2 linked regions of the Ovis aries genome follow. The protein of the gene in region 2 purifies or fractionates together with the protein of the main gene of each other region. This does not show direct contact. Links are inferred from orthologs where the notes say so. Each region holds a gene or a part of one and is shown on either strand. Other genes may lie near its edges.

Region 1 (4,439 bases), on a different chromosome or scaffold from region 2:
CCTTTGTGGCAATGGAGAGAAGCTGGCCCTGACTCTGTTCACCAGTCTTATGAAACAATATACCAGGAGAAGGGGGAGAAATCCCTAACATTGCAACTTTATGGGGGCCCTAAACTCTCCTTGCTCCCTCTCTTATTTGCACTGATGACAAAGACCATTTGCTACCAATTTATTGGAAACTTTTTTTTTTTTTCACAGCTTAAGCTGCTTAAAGGCAGGGAGCTCCGTCTCCCCCAAATCGATGTCAGACACTTGCTGAATGAGCTGGGCTCAATTATGCTCCCACCACAAGCTCAGCTCACACTGTGACCCTGCGTGGCTTCCTGCTATTCATATGTGTTACTTCCCCTTTGTGGTAATGGCTTGTGGCATTGGGCCAGAAAACATTATTAATTTCAGAAGTGGACTGACAAACAACAAACCCACAGTGAACCGAGAGGAAGTGCTGGGGAGGCCAGCTGTCGGCTTGAGCAGAGCCGAAGGAACTCAGTGTTTGCAAGTTCTAGAAGGAAAGGAGACGATAATCCACAAAGAGGAAATGCACTAAAATTATCCACCACCCGTATTAAAGAGAGAAGAAAGAGAAAAGAGAAAAGAAATCAGAGAAAAGAGAAGGGAGGAGAAAAGCACACAGCTACTCGAGCTGCAGCTGGACAGGAAATTGCTAAGGCTGCTCGCAAATCCCTACTTTGAAGAGGCAGTTTAGGGAATGCCAGGAGCGGAAACCGTTCAGAACCGGATTAACACGAGCCAAGTTGAACTGCAACCCACTTCTCCTTTCGGAGCTCCGGCTGACTCAGGGCACCCAAATGGGAGGGACTGACTTGGTATTTTTCTGCACTGTTTCTGCCTTTTGTACATGCTTAGCTGCTAAAAGTCACACAGGACAGCTTGATACAATTGTCATAGAATCAGGGTTATTTGCCTCCTAGCAGATAATCCAACTGACACCTCATATGTACCATGTGAGTGAAAAGCTCATTTTTCTCTCCACTGCAGACAAAGGGACTAAGCTCATTCAAAAAGGGCTGGAAATGTACGTTCTAGTTCTTTTGATTTCATACACTTTTGTGTACTTTGACACTCGGGACACGGAGAGGGATGTCCTGAGGGAAATGACAGAATATTAAGCCTTTACCTTGAAAATTAATGGTTCAAAATAACCTTAGCATAAAAAATTTTTTTTTCAACAGGGGTTTCTGGCCCACATTCTAAATTAGTTAAGCACAAAGCACATTAGGACAGGAGTGGTGATGCTTCAAGCGCTAATATGAAATTGTGGCCACATCCAGTCTCAGGGAGAACGGTTAGCTGTGCTCTGCCATGTACACCAGAAAGGGGAGACACCATCCCTGATTCATTTACTATTCCAAGACTAGAATTTGCAGATAGAAGTGCCACTTACAAACCAGAGAAATAATTCTACTTTTTTCCTGGTATGTGTATTACTGAGCAGAAGACCCTGACAGGGAAAATCAAGAGAGGTTAATGCTGTCGTTTTGTTATTCTGATGCCTTCTCTTTGTGACTATTCATGAATATCTAAATATTGTAATTTCAGAAAGCTATGCTCTTATGACACCATTTTCCTTCAAGAGCATCACAGTTTTCTTAAATAGGCCAGACTTACTATATTTTGTCCATAGGAATGATTATGAACTTCCCTGGTGGCTCAGATGGTAAAGAATCTGCCTGCAATGCAAGAGACCCTGGTTCAAGCCCTGGGTTGGGAAGATCCTCTGGAGAAAAGAATGGCTGCCCACTCCAGTATTCTCACCTGGAGAATTCCATGGACAGCAGAGCCCCGTGGGCTATAACCCATGGGACCACAAAGAATCTGACACAACTGAGAGAATTTCACACTCACACTCATAGGAAATGATATAGTCAATCCCTTCCATTATGTCACTTTTACTTGAAGCAAAAGGCTAATTTCATAAACCATACCTGAAGACTTCTTGGTAATAGTTTGAGATGAGAACTTTGCCCCAATATTCCTACATGTATTTTAAATAAGCCAGTATCAATCCCCAACTGAAAAATCCTAAAATGTATCACTTCATATCTAAGTACAATTAAGGAGAGATTTTGAAAAAATACACATTTGATAGCCAAAATAGTTATTTATTAATAATTTAAGGTTTTACATTCTTATAATAAAATTTCAGCTCAGAACTTTATACCATCAACATACGGAGCCACTTGTCTCCTTCCTGCACAATCATATGCATGTCACCTATCGAATGAGTACCCATGCTCTCACACACACACACACACACACACACATACACACACACACACACGCACGCGCACACGCTTCCAGTTTCACACAAATTGTTTTTAAAAAGGAAAGAAACCAACCCAAAATATTGCATTTGAGGTGACACTCCCTGAAGAATTTTGTACAGAGGTAAGATACTGTTTAGCACAGCTGAAGTTTCAACAACAAAAAAAGTGAGCCCATGATTTTGGTGTCTTTCCAAGATATCCCCTTTGAGACAACACAAATCAAAATATTTACAAAGATAAGGCAGAGTCAAACTACATTAAGGAGAAAAAAAGTCACAAGGAAGATATATGAGAGAGACTGAAGACTGCACCATAACAAGGTCTCCATGATCATCAAGTGTCCATGAAAATGTCATTCAGGAATTGGTAGCGTTGAGCATGCTGCAAATATATCCTTTGGATTCAAAAAGAGCAAAAGTTTCCATTGTTTTTAAGTGGCAAACTGCTCTCTCTCCCTTTGGATGATTTCTTTTAAACCCATCAAAGGAAAAACACAGTTCAAACAAACACTGTCAAGTGATTTAAGATCAAATATTTACAATAATCAAATGGAATATGAGATTCATTTGACTGATTTTTTTTTTTCTTTTCTTTCTTTCTTTTTTTTTTTTGCAAACTGATACTACAAACACAGAGCTGAAACCTCTCTTTGGCTCCTCTATATGCAAAATTGAATCGGTCTTCACTGAAGACAATATAGAATCAGTTCCAGATGCAAAAGAAACAGTCATACAAGGCCCTAAAGAACACATGCTCCTACCCTACCATTTGGTCCTACCCTATGTACCTGGAAGTCCTCGAATCCCAGTCCCTGCAGGGGTAGGCTGTACACAGGGGTGTGGAGCAAACCTACTGCCTCTATCTATACAGCGGGTCCTGTTCTTCCAACAGGAAGGGAGCAAATCTCTCCCTTGGGAATAACCAATTCCATACGTGGTAACCTTGTCTAATACAGACAGCTGGTGTCCTGTTAACACCTGGGGCCACATACAAAGAAAGCAGCCTGGCGGCTGCTGCTGAGAGAAACTGCTAAAGATCGACTGGACACATCCCAGTTGGGGGGGCCCTTCACGTGGATTGCAGAGAGTCCACCTGGTAGACATTCTGGTTGGAGGGCGTGGTGAAATAGAGCTGCTGTGTGGGGACGCGGTTGTCACAGGGGCTGCTCAGTCCCAGCGTCCTCTCGAAGTCCAGGAGCTGGCCCATGAAGTTGAAGTTGGGAGAGATGTTGGATTTCTTCATCTTCACAATGTCATAAGCATCATTCATCGACAGATTGAGCTTCTGCATAAGGTAAGCCACAGTCACAGTGACCGAGCGGCTGATGCCAGCTAAGCAATGCACCAGGACGCCACAGTTTTTGCCCCGGGCTTCATCTGTAAACAGAAAAAGAAAGGGAAAAATATCAGTGGACCAAAAATCCCCCTTTGTGAACGATCAGCCTAAAACCTGAGTAATAATAATACTAAAGATTAAAATACAATTGTGTGTGGCAGCTGAGCCCTGCAGGCAGCAGAAAATGTATCACTGAGCTAAAACATGTACACTGGGCACAATTACATATTTCAGATATTTTCTGAAAAGGGAGCTTTTGTATTAAGTTTCTGCCAACACAAAACCCCTTAATGTGTGCATTCTTTGCCTCAGCATGTGAATACCAGAAACCCTGCAATATGGTCGTGAATGCCTTTTATACAGACAAGCAGACTGCAAGGGTCTATTAAATTATTCTCCAACTGTTGTGCAGCTAACAATGGAGGTATTCAGGCATTTCAAAAAAGAGAGAGGGAAGTCACAGGGGACAGCCCATTAGGAGGAACAGGATGTCGACATGGCCTGAAAATGAGTTCCTTTGTAATAGGAAATGCATTACAATGCCTGGAGATTCGCTTCTCCAGGCTTTCAGCCCACAGTTCTTCCTGCTGGGCTCAGGTTACCCTCACTGTCTCACTGTGAACCAGTATCACAGTAACATTCAGTTGGATTACAGCATCTCACATTCACAGAGCTTTCCAACAACTAACTTGGTGTCCTAAAACAACTCCCAGGTTGGTCTTTTAAAATTATAAAGTCATGCTAGGATTCCTGTCTACCAAGAGTACTTCTATCTGGCCCTCCTCCAGTCCAAAGATGGTGGGAAAATCCTGCTGT
Region 2 (6,543 bases):
GCTCTCCAGACCCTGTGTGGGGCAGCTGGCGTGGGTTCCTGGGGCCTGGCCTCCCTCCCCCCACACCCCCTGCCCCTTGCCTCATCACTTCAGTCAGGACAGGTTGAACGGCTCCTTTTTCCCTATTCAATCTCTTGCCCTGCCATCCTTATCTCCGCCTACCTTGAACTCTGCCCTCCCTTTAACATCCTGCCCTTGGGACCTAGCCCTCTCTGCTGCCCACCTGCCTCGCAGTCCTCACTCCATCCTCAGGAGTGGCCACCCCGTGCCTATCCCAGCCCAGCTCACCTCCGCGGTGGGCCCCCAGGCGGGGACGGAAGGCTGGAACCCATGGTGTGTGCAGCAGGCGAGGTCGGCGCAGGAAGAAGAAGGACAGCATGACATAGCTGCCCAGGGCGGGCAGGGCGTAGTAGAGCAGAGGGCTCATGGCCACGCCGCCTCTCCAGGCTCCGGCAGCCGTGGAGCTCAGCTTTTCCCGGTGGACTGTGCTGCTTCACTGACTGCCTGGCTGATGTAGGCTGACTCCACCACCGGCCGCCACCACACCCCTAGGGACCTGCTGAGCCTGCTGCTGGCTAGAGGCCAGAGTGCAGGGCTGAGCTGGGGATGGGGTAGAGGCAGGAGAAGAGACCAGGCAGCTCTGGGCCTCACACACTAGGCCCTTCGCACAGCCCAGCCTCCTTGTCTCTGTGGCCACACCAGGGAAATCAAGTCAACCCTCCCCCCAGCAGGTCCACTACCACACTCCACCTTCCCACTGGTGCCTGTTGCCGGAGTATATATACACCCCTTGCCGTTTCCAGAGAATCTGGGGGTGTGCAGGGTGTCCCTGAGTCACTCTAGAATCATCTCCAGCCAGTTAGACAGGAAACCATCACAGAGGGGACAGGACAATGAATAAGGGGGAACTGACCCCGACTCAACAGACATGAATTGGAGCAAACTCTGCAAGAGAGTGGAAGACAGAGGAGCCTGGCAGGCTGCAGTCCATGAGGTCGCAAGGAGCTGGACATGAATTAGTGACTGAACAACAAGACCCCACTCTGGCCAGGAGTCTAGATCCCACTCCCATCCTCAACCCTGGCCAGCAGGGGAGCCGAAGGCCACCATGCCGGGTAAAGCATCAGCGCTCAGGGCAGCAAGGGTGAGGGTCAGGGCGTCGGCGAACAGAGAGAGAGCCAGGGCCATCCATAGACACATCTCTATATTTATATATTAGATACAGGCACAGGGGTGGGCGGGGGCCCTGGGCGCTCCACAGGCCCCCACCTCCACTTCTGTTCACCCACACACGGAAGCAGCAGGGATGTTAGATGTGGCAGCTTTGTAGGGGAGGGGTTGAGACCTGGGCCCCCGCTCCTCAGGGATACTAGCCCTTGAGCCTTAGGAATGTTCCTTCAGGGAAAACAGGGTGGGGTTTTAACGAGGTGAGGGGCAGGGCTGACCCTGAGTCCCAGCTCACGTCCTCCTCGCCCCTCCCCCACCGCCCCTCAGTCGGTCCGGGGCAACCAGAGCCCTTGGATTCCAGAACTATCAGAGACTGGGAGAGCTGGGCAGACAGAGGCAGAGCAGCAGAGGGGAATTTGCTTTGGGGCCACCTGAGCCCCTCAGGTCCTGGGCGGGGGGTGGGGAGGTGGGCAGGAGGAGGAAAGGAAGGGCGTGTTGGCCTGCCTGAGGCAGGACGCCTGAGCGAAGCGAAGGGAGGTGGCCAGGCCCGCCCTCCACCCCGACCTGGGCTGTCGGGGGGGTCTGGGCTGGGTACACGGTCCATTTTCTAACAGTCCAGCAGGGGAGGGGCAGGCAGGAGGCAGGGCCTAGACAAAAAGGTAGGCAGGAAAGGAACCATTAGCCCGGTGGCTGACCTGCCTGAGCCCCACCCTCACTTCCCTCCTATCACCTTGCGGCTGGGTGGCATGCAGCTGGCTTTCCTTATCTGTCAGTGCGGGTAATATTAATACCCATTTCAAGGTACTGCTATTGGGACTAAGTGAATTGATACAAGCAAACGTCTTGCAGGAATTTCATTATCAGGCTGTCTCCAGGAGACTGAGGCGCGGCAAGGTGAGGTGTCTTGCACAATATCACACAGCCCTTATGAAGTAGCAGAGCCGGGCTTTGAACCCGGGTGTGTCTGCCTTACTGATATCAGGCTACAGCTGGCCAAAGACAGACAGGAAATGAGAGGAGGGCCGCACAGCAGTGTGGGTGTAGCCCCAGCCAGGTTCCCGCAGGTGTGTGAACTGCTGACCTGGACACCAGGTGAGAAAAAGCCTGGCATGTGGGTCAGGCTGGGTGCTGCTGGCTCCTCCCAAAGCAATTACTGCTCCCCCTGCCTCTCTGCCTGCCCTGGGGGAGCCAAACCCTGGCTCCGTTTCCTCAGGTGGATGAGGGGGGCCCTTCGTGACCTGGGGCTGGAGTCTGCAAGATGTTGACATGGGGGAGACATATGGGGCTGGGGACCACAGGTCTGTGGCCAAGGCAGGCTGTAGCCCTTCTGTTGCCACCAAACCCGTGGCTCGTGGATGTGAGCAGGCTTGTGACCGTATGGAGGCATGCTGGGCATTCTCGTCGCAGGGTGAATCTGTGCAGGAGTGGGGGAGGCACTCACCAGGCCCCAGGAGCAGAGGCAGCCAGCCAGGTTAGGAGGCCTCCAGCACCCCAGGCTGGAAGCGGGCTGTCTCCTGGAAGATGAGCTCCTTCAGTCGTTCCTTGGGTAGATCATCCAGCTCCATGTCGAAGGTGAAAGGTTCCTCGGCCACTGGCTGGGGTGGCAAAGAAGTGGGGTGGCTCAGGGCAGGGACCGAGGGAAGACCCCCGTCCACCTGTCAGCCCTGCCACTAGTGGCTGGCCCACCTCATCCGTTGGGTCATAGTACTGCTCCAGGTAGGGGTGAGCCAGCGCTTCTTCCACTGTGATCCGTTTGTTGGGGTTAAAGGTCAACATCCGGTCCAGCAGGTCAAGAGCTAGGAAGTGCAGGGGTCAGAGGTCAAAGGGAAGGTCAGAGAAGCTCTCAGAAGCACTACTTGGCTTCTCTGTGTTCAGAGGCTTGTTGGTCCAGAGGCCTCTGTGTCCCAGAAAACCGCTGGGCTCTTGTACCTTCCTCTACACCCAGTTTTTATTATACAAGTTCCCAAGTCTCTCTCACCTTTGGGGTCTGACTTAGGAAAAAGCTTGGCCCAGGCCACCTTGGTCTTGGAGGGCAGAGACTGCAGGTAGTTTCGGGCTTTCATGTTGATGATACAGTTCAGGTCCTCCTGGGATGGGGAGCCCAGAATACCTGTGGGTAGGGCAGGTGACTTGGTGAGCAATCTCTCCCTTCTGGGAACAGAAGGAGCCAAGAATAAGAGCCCTCCGCCAACCTGCTCCAGGCCAACCATTATCTCCCAGCCAATACTATGGGGGTGAAGAGCCGGGGGTCTGGATCGGGCAGCCCCAGGTTTAAATCCTGGCCCGAGCACTTCCTAAGTGTGGGGTGTATGGAGCCTTGCTTTTCCCATCTATCAAATGGGGACAGTATCTGTAACTCAGTTAAACACTGTGAATGCTGTAGGGGCTCCTGGACCACACATGGTGGTCCCCCTGACCTGACTCCTGCGGACACACTGACCCTGAAGTGAAGTCGCTCAGTTGTGTCCAACTCTTTGCGATCCCATGGACTATATATAGCCTGCCAGGCTCCTCCGTCCATGGGATTTTCCAGGCAAGAATACCATTTGGGTTGCTATTTCCTTCTCCAGAGGATCTTCCTGACCCAGGGATGGGTCCCGGGTCTCCTGCACTGCAGGCACACTCTTTACCTTCTGAGCCACCTGGGAACTTTGACCCTAAAGAAATCTCACCTCCAGTAAGCAAGTTTCCCTCCCACTCAGCTGGCCAATACCCCCTACCCAGAATGTGGTTGAGCTGGTCCAGGTAGTGCTTGCCGGGGAAGATGGGCCGGTTGGAGAGCATCTCAGCCAGAATGCAGCCCACAGACCAGATGTCGATGGACTTGGTGTAGCCCTGGGGAGGAGGAGAAAAGTGGTGGACTCCTGGGCCAAGCCGGCACCCCTGACCCTAGGGTCAACACCAGCCAGGGAGGCAGAGCGAAGAAGCCTGGGGAGTGAATCCTCAGTTTCTTTCCATAGCCCAAGGACCAGAATAATGTGACAAGGCCCAGAAGGGACACTTCCTGCATCATGAGGGTCAGTGCTGGACTCAGAGGTGGCTCCAGGGCTTTCTGGGATCCGGTCTCTTCCCTTCACGGGTGGGTGGGCCCCCTACCTTGGAGTTAAGCATGATCTCTGGGGCCCGGTACCAGCGTGTGGCCACGTATTCCGTCAAGAAGCCAGTGTGGTCATGCTCGGGATCAGCAATCCGGGCAAGACCGAAATCACAGATCTAGAATGCAAACCAGGCTGCTGAGCTCAGTGCTCAAGGCCTCCTGGGCCCAACCAATCCTATCACCCATGTCTCTCCTACCCATGGCAGGAAGGGGACTACTGGTCACCCTGAAGCCTGAGACCCCAGGGGCAGAAGGAGACAGGCACGCAACCCTCAGACCTTAAGGTCGCAGGTGGTGTTGATGAGCAGGTTGGAGGGCTTTAAATCCCGGTGGAGCACGTTGGCGGAGTGGATATACTTCAGGCCCCGCAGGATCTGGTACAGGAAGTAGCATACATGGTCGTTGCTCAGCTGCTGGCTTTTGAGCAATTTGTACAGGTCTGTCTCCATCAGATCCTGCACGATGTAGCTGAGGTGGGTGCCAGAGGCCCCCCAGGTGGGGGCAGTGGGAGGCAGTTGGTTAAGAAGAACAGACTCTGCTGACCAGGTTTCACATCCCTCCAGCTGATGCCCCTGGGACTCAACAGATCTGCCAGCTCATATCATGAGCTGGGCAAGGCCCACACTTAGCAGGTGAACTCAAGGCCTCTGCTGGATCTCAGCTGGTGACCCTGAGCAAAGCGTCGCAGTTCTGTAGCCTCAGTCTCCCTATTGAGAAAATGGGGATAATAAACTGGGAAGCAGGAGAACGTCCCAGCTAAGAGCAGTAACTCTGGAGTTCACCTGCCACTGTCAATCATTCCTGCACTGGTCATTCATTCACTTTAGGAACTCAAGCCCTGTCTGCGCCTCTCTTCCTCATCTGTAAAGGGGAAAAAAAATCCTTTTTAGAGAGTGGTGGTAAAGATTAGTTGAGAGATGACCCAGGCAGTGCAGCCAGCTTGGTGCCTGGCACGTTGTAAATGTTCGGCAAATGTGAACTAGTATTGCTGTTATAAAAGACTGAGCCACATGGCTGTTGAGAAGGTTAAATGAGATTATGTATGAACACCATCTGGCAGGCAATAAATGTTTGCTTAAAAATAAATGCCTGCCTTATGGGGATGGTTTGTGCAAGACGAATGAGGAGAAACTTCCCAGCGGCACGCTCCTACTCCGGGGGCTTGGCCCTACACCCGAAGACAGAGGAGTAAATGTCCTTTTATACTCTAAGATAAAAAAAGAATTAAACATAAACAAACAAATAAACGTCATGTGGGTTGTTTCTGGAAGACTCAGTTATGGCTGTCTTTCAGAGTCAGCCTCAAAAGGGCCTTCCGAGAACACCTGGACCAACCCTGCTATTTTAAAGATGAAGAGGCCCGGCATGCTGCAGTGACTTGGTTAAGGTCACACGACAAGCTGAGGGTGAGTGTGGAAGTTTCCTGCCCACAGTTTGTGGTGGGGGCTGCAAACAGTGCAGTACAGATCACCACTCTTGGGGGAAGGACTGGGATGGTGGGGGTGGGTGGGGTAGGGGAGAGGTGATGAGTGTAAAAGCTCCTAACAGAGCCAGGCAGGAAGTGGACCCACAAACTAGGAAAGCAATGTGTGTGTGTGGGTCGGGGGGGCCACAAAGGCAGGTCTGTTCCTCCCTGGGCAAGGTACGAGTCCACAGGTGACTGGGGTGGGACTCTGAGCAGGAAGTCCCAGAGAGGGGACAGGTTCTTGTCTGGGGGAGGGGAAGAGGCAGCCACAGAAGCACTTGATTTTATTTCAGTTTTCTGAGCCTCAGTTTCCTCATCTTTGAAATGGAGCTGCTGAGACCCATCTCCTAGGGCAGTTGGGAGTTAGAATAGGAAATGTCAAAGCACTCGGCTTGAGCTGCACCAGACTCACAGTAGGCCCTCAAAACAGGGCAGTGTTCTTCCCGCCTGCCTTCCTGCCAGTCTGAGGACCCAGAGAAACAAGAACTGCCATCAGTTAAACAGAAGAGCTGACTGTGGGCAGAGGCTGGATCTCCTCACAGAATTGCCGATGTCAGAGGACAAAGCTTCCACAGGGCTCATCTTGCCCAGCCCCCTACGAAGCCAAGATCGAGAGAACAGACTTGCCCAAGGCCACACTGCCTGGCCGCAGCAGGCCAGGATTCATCTGAGGCCTCTCTGCCTTCTTACACTGTGGCCTCTTGACCGCTGGAAAGTTTCCTTTACTGGGTTTGTTTGGAGGGAGGTTGGGAAGAAGGGAAGAGAAAACAAGCCCCTGTTCTCCCAGCCCGGCTCTGAGGCTGGGCCTGGCCAG

Evidence for each region. The genes of interacting proteins can lie anywhere in the genome.
Region 1: the proteins of MAPK3 (region 2) and DUSP6 purify together in Homo sapiens (affinity purification with mass spectrometry; 7 studies listed by BioGRID and IntAct, with this or other methods). This does not show direct contact. The link is inferred for Ovis aries from reciprocal best matches to the Homo sapiens genes MAPK3 and DUSP6.

What each region holds. Positions count from the first base shown.
Region 1 is NC_056056.1:125,701,344-125,705,782, forward strand, and holds the end of DUSP6 (dual specificity protein phosphatase 6), read right to left. Parts: intron 3,665-4,439; coding exon 3,357-3,664; 3' UTR 2,103-3,356; downstream 1-2,102. UniProt on the Homo sapiens protein: Dual specificity protein phosphatase, which mediates dephosphorylation and inactivation of MAP kinases. Has a specificity for the ERK family. Plays an important role in alleviating chronic postoperative pain.
Region 2 is NC_056077.1:26,694,653-26,701,195, reverse strand, and holds the end of MAPK3 (mitogen-activated protein kinase 3), read right to left. Parts: intron 4,733-6,543; coding exon 4,543-4,732; intron 4,381-4,542; coding exon 4,264-4,380; intron 4,003-4,263; coding exon 3,888-4,002; intron 3,278-3,887; coding exon 3,146-3,277; intron 2,964-3,145; coding exon 2,854-2,963; intron 2,763-2,853; coding exon 2,640-2,762; 3' UTR 2,609-2,639; intron 1,815-2,608; 3' UTR 1,188-1,814; downstream 1-1,187. Other genes in the region: lysophospholipase D GDPD3, read right to left, coding at 1-12, 289-427.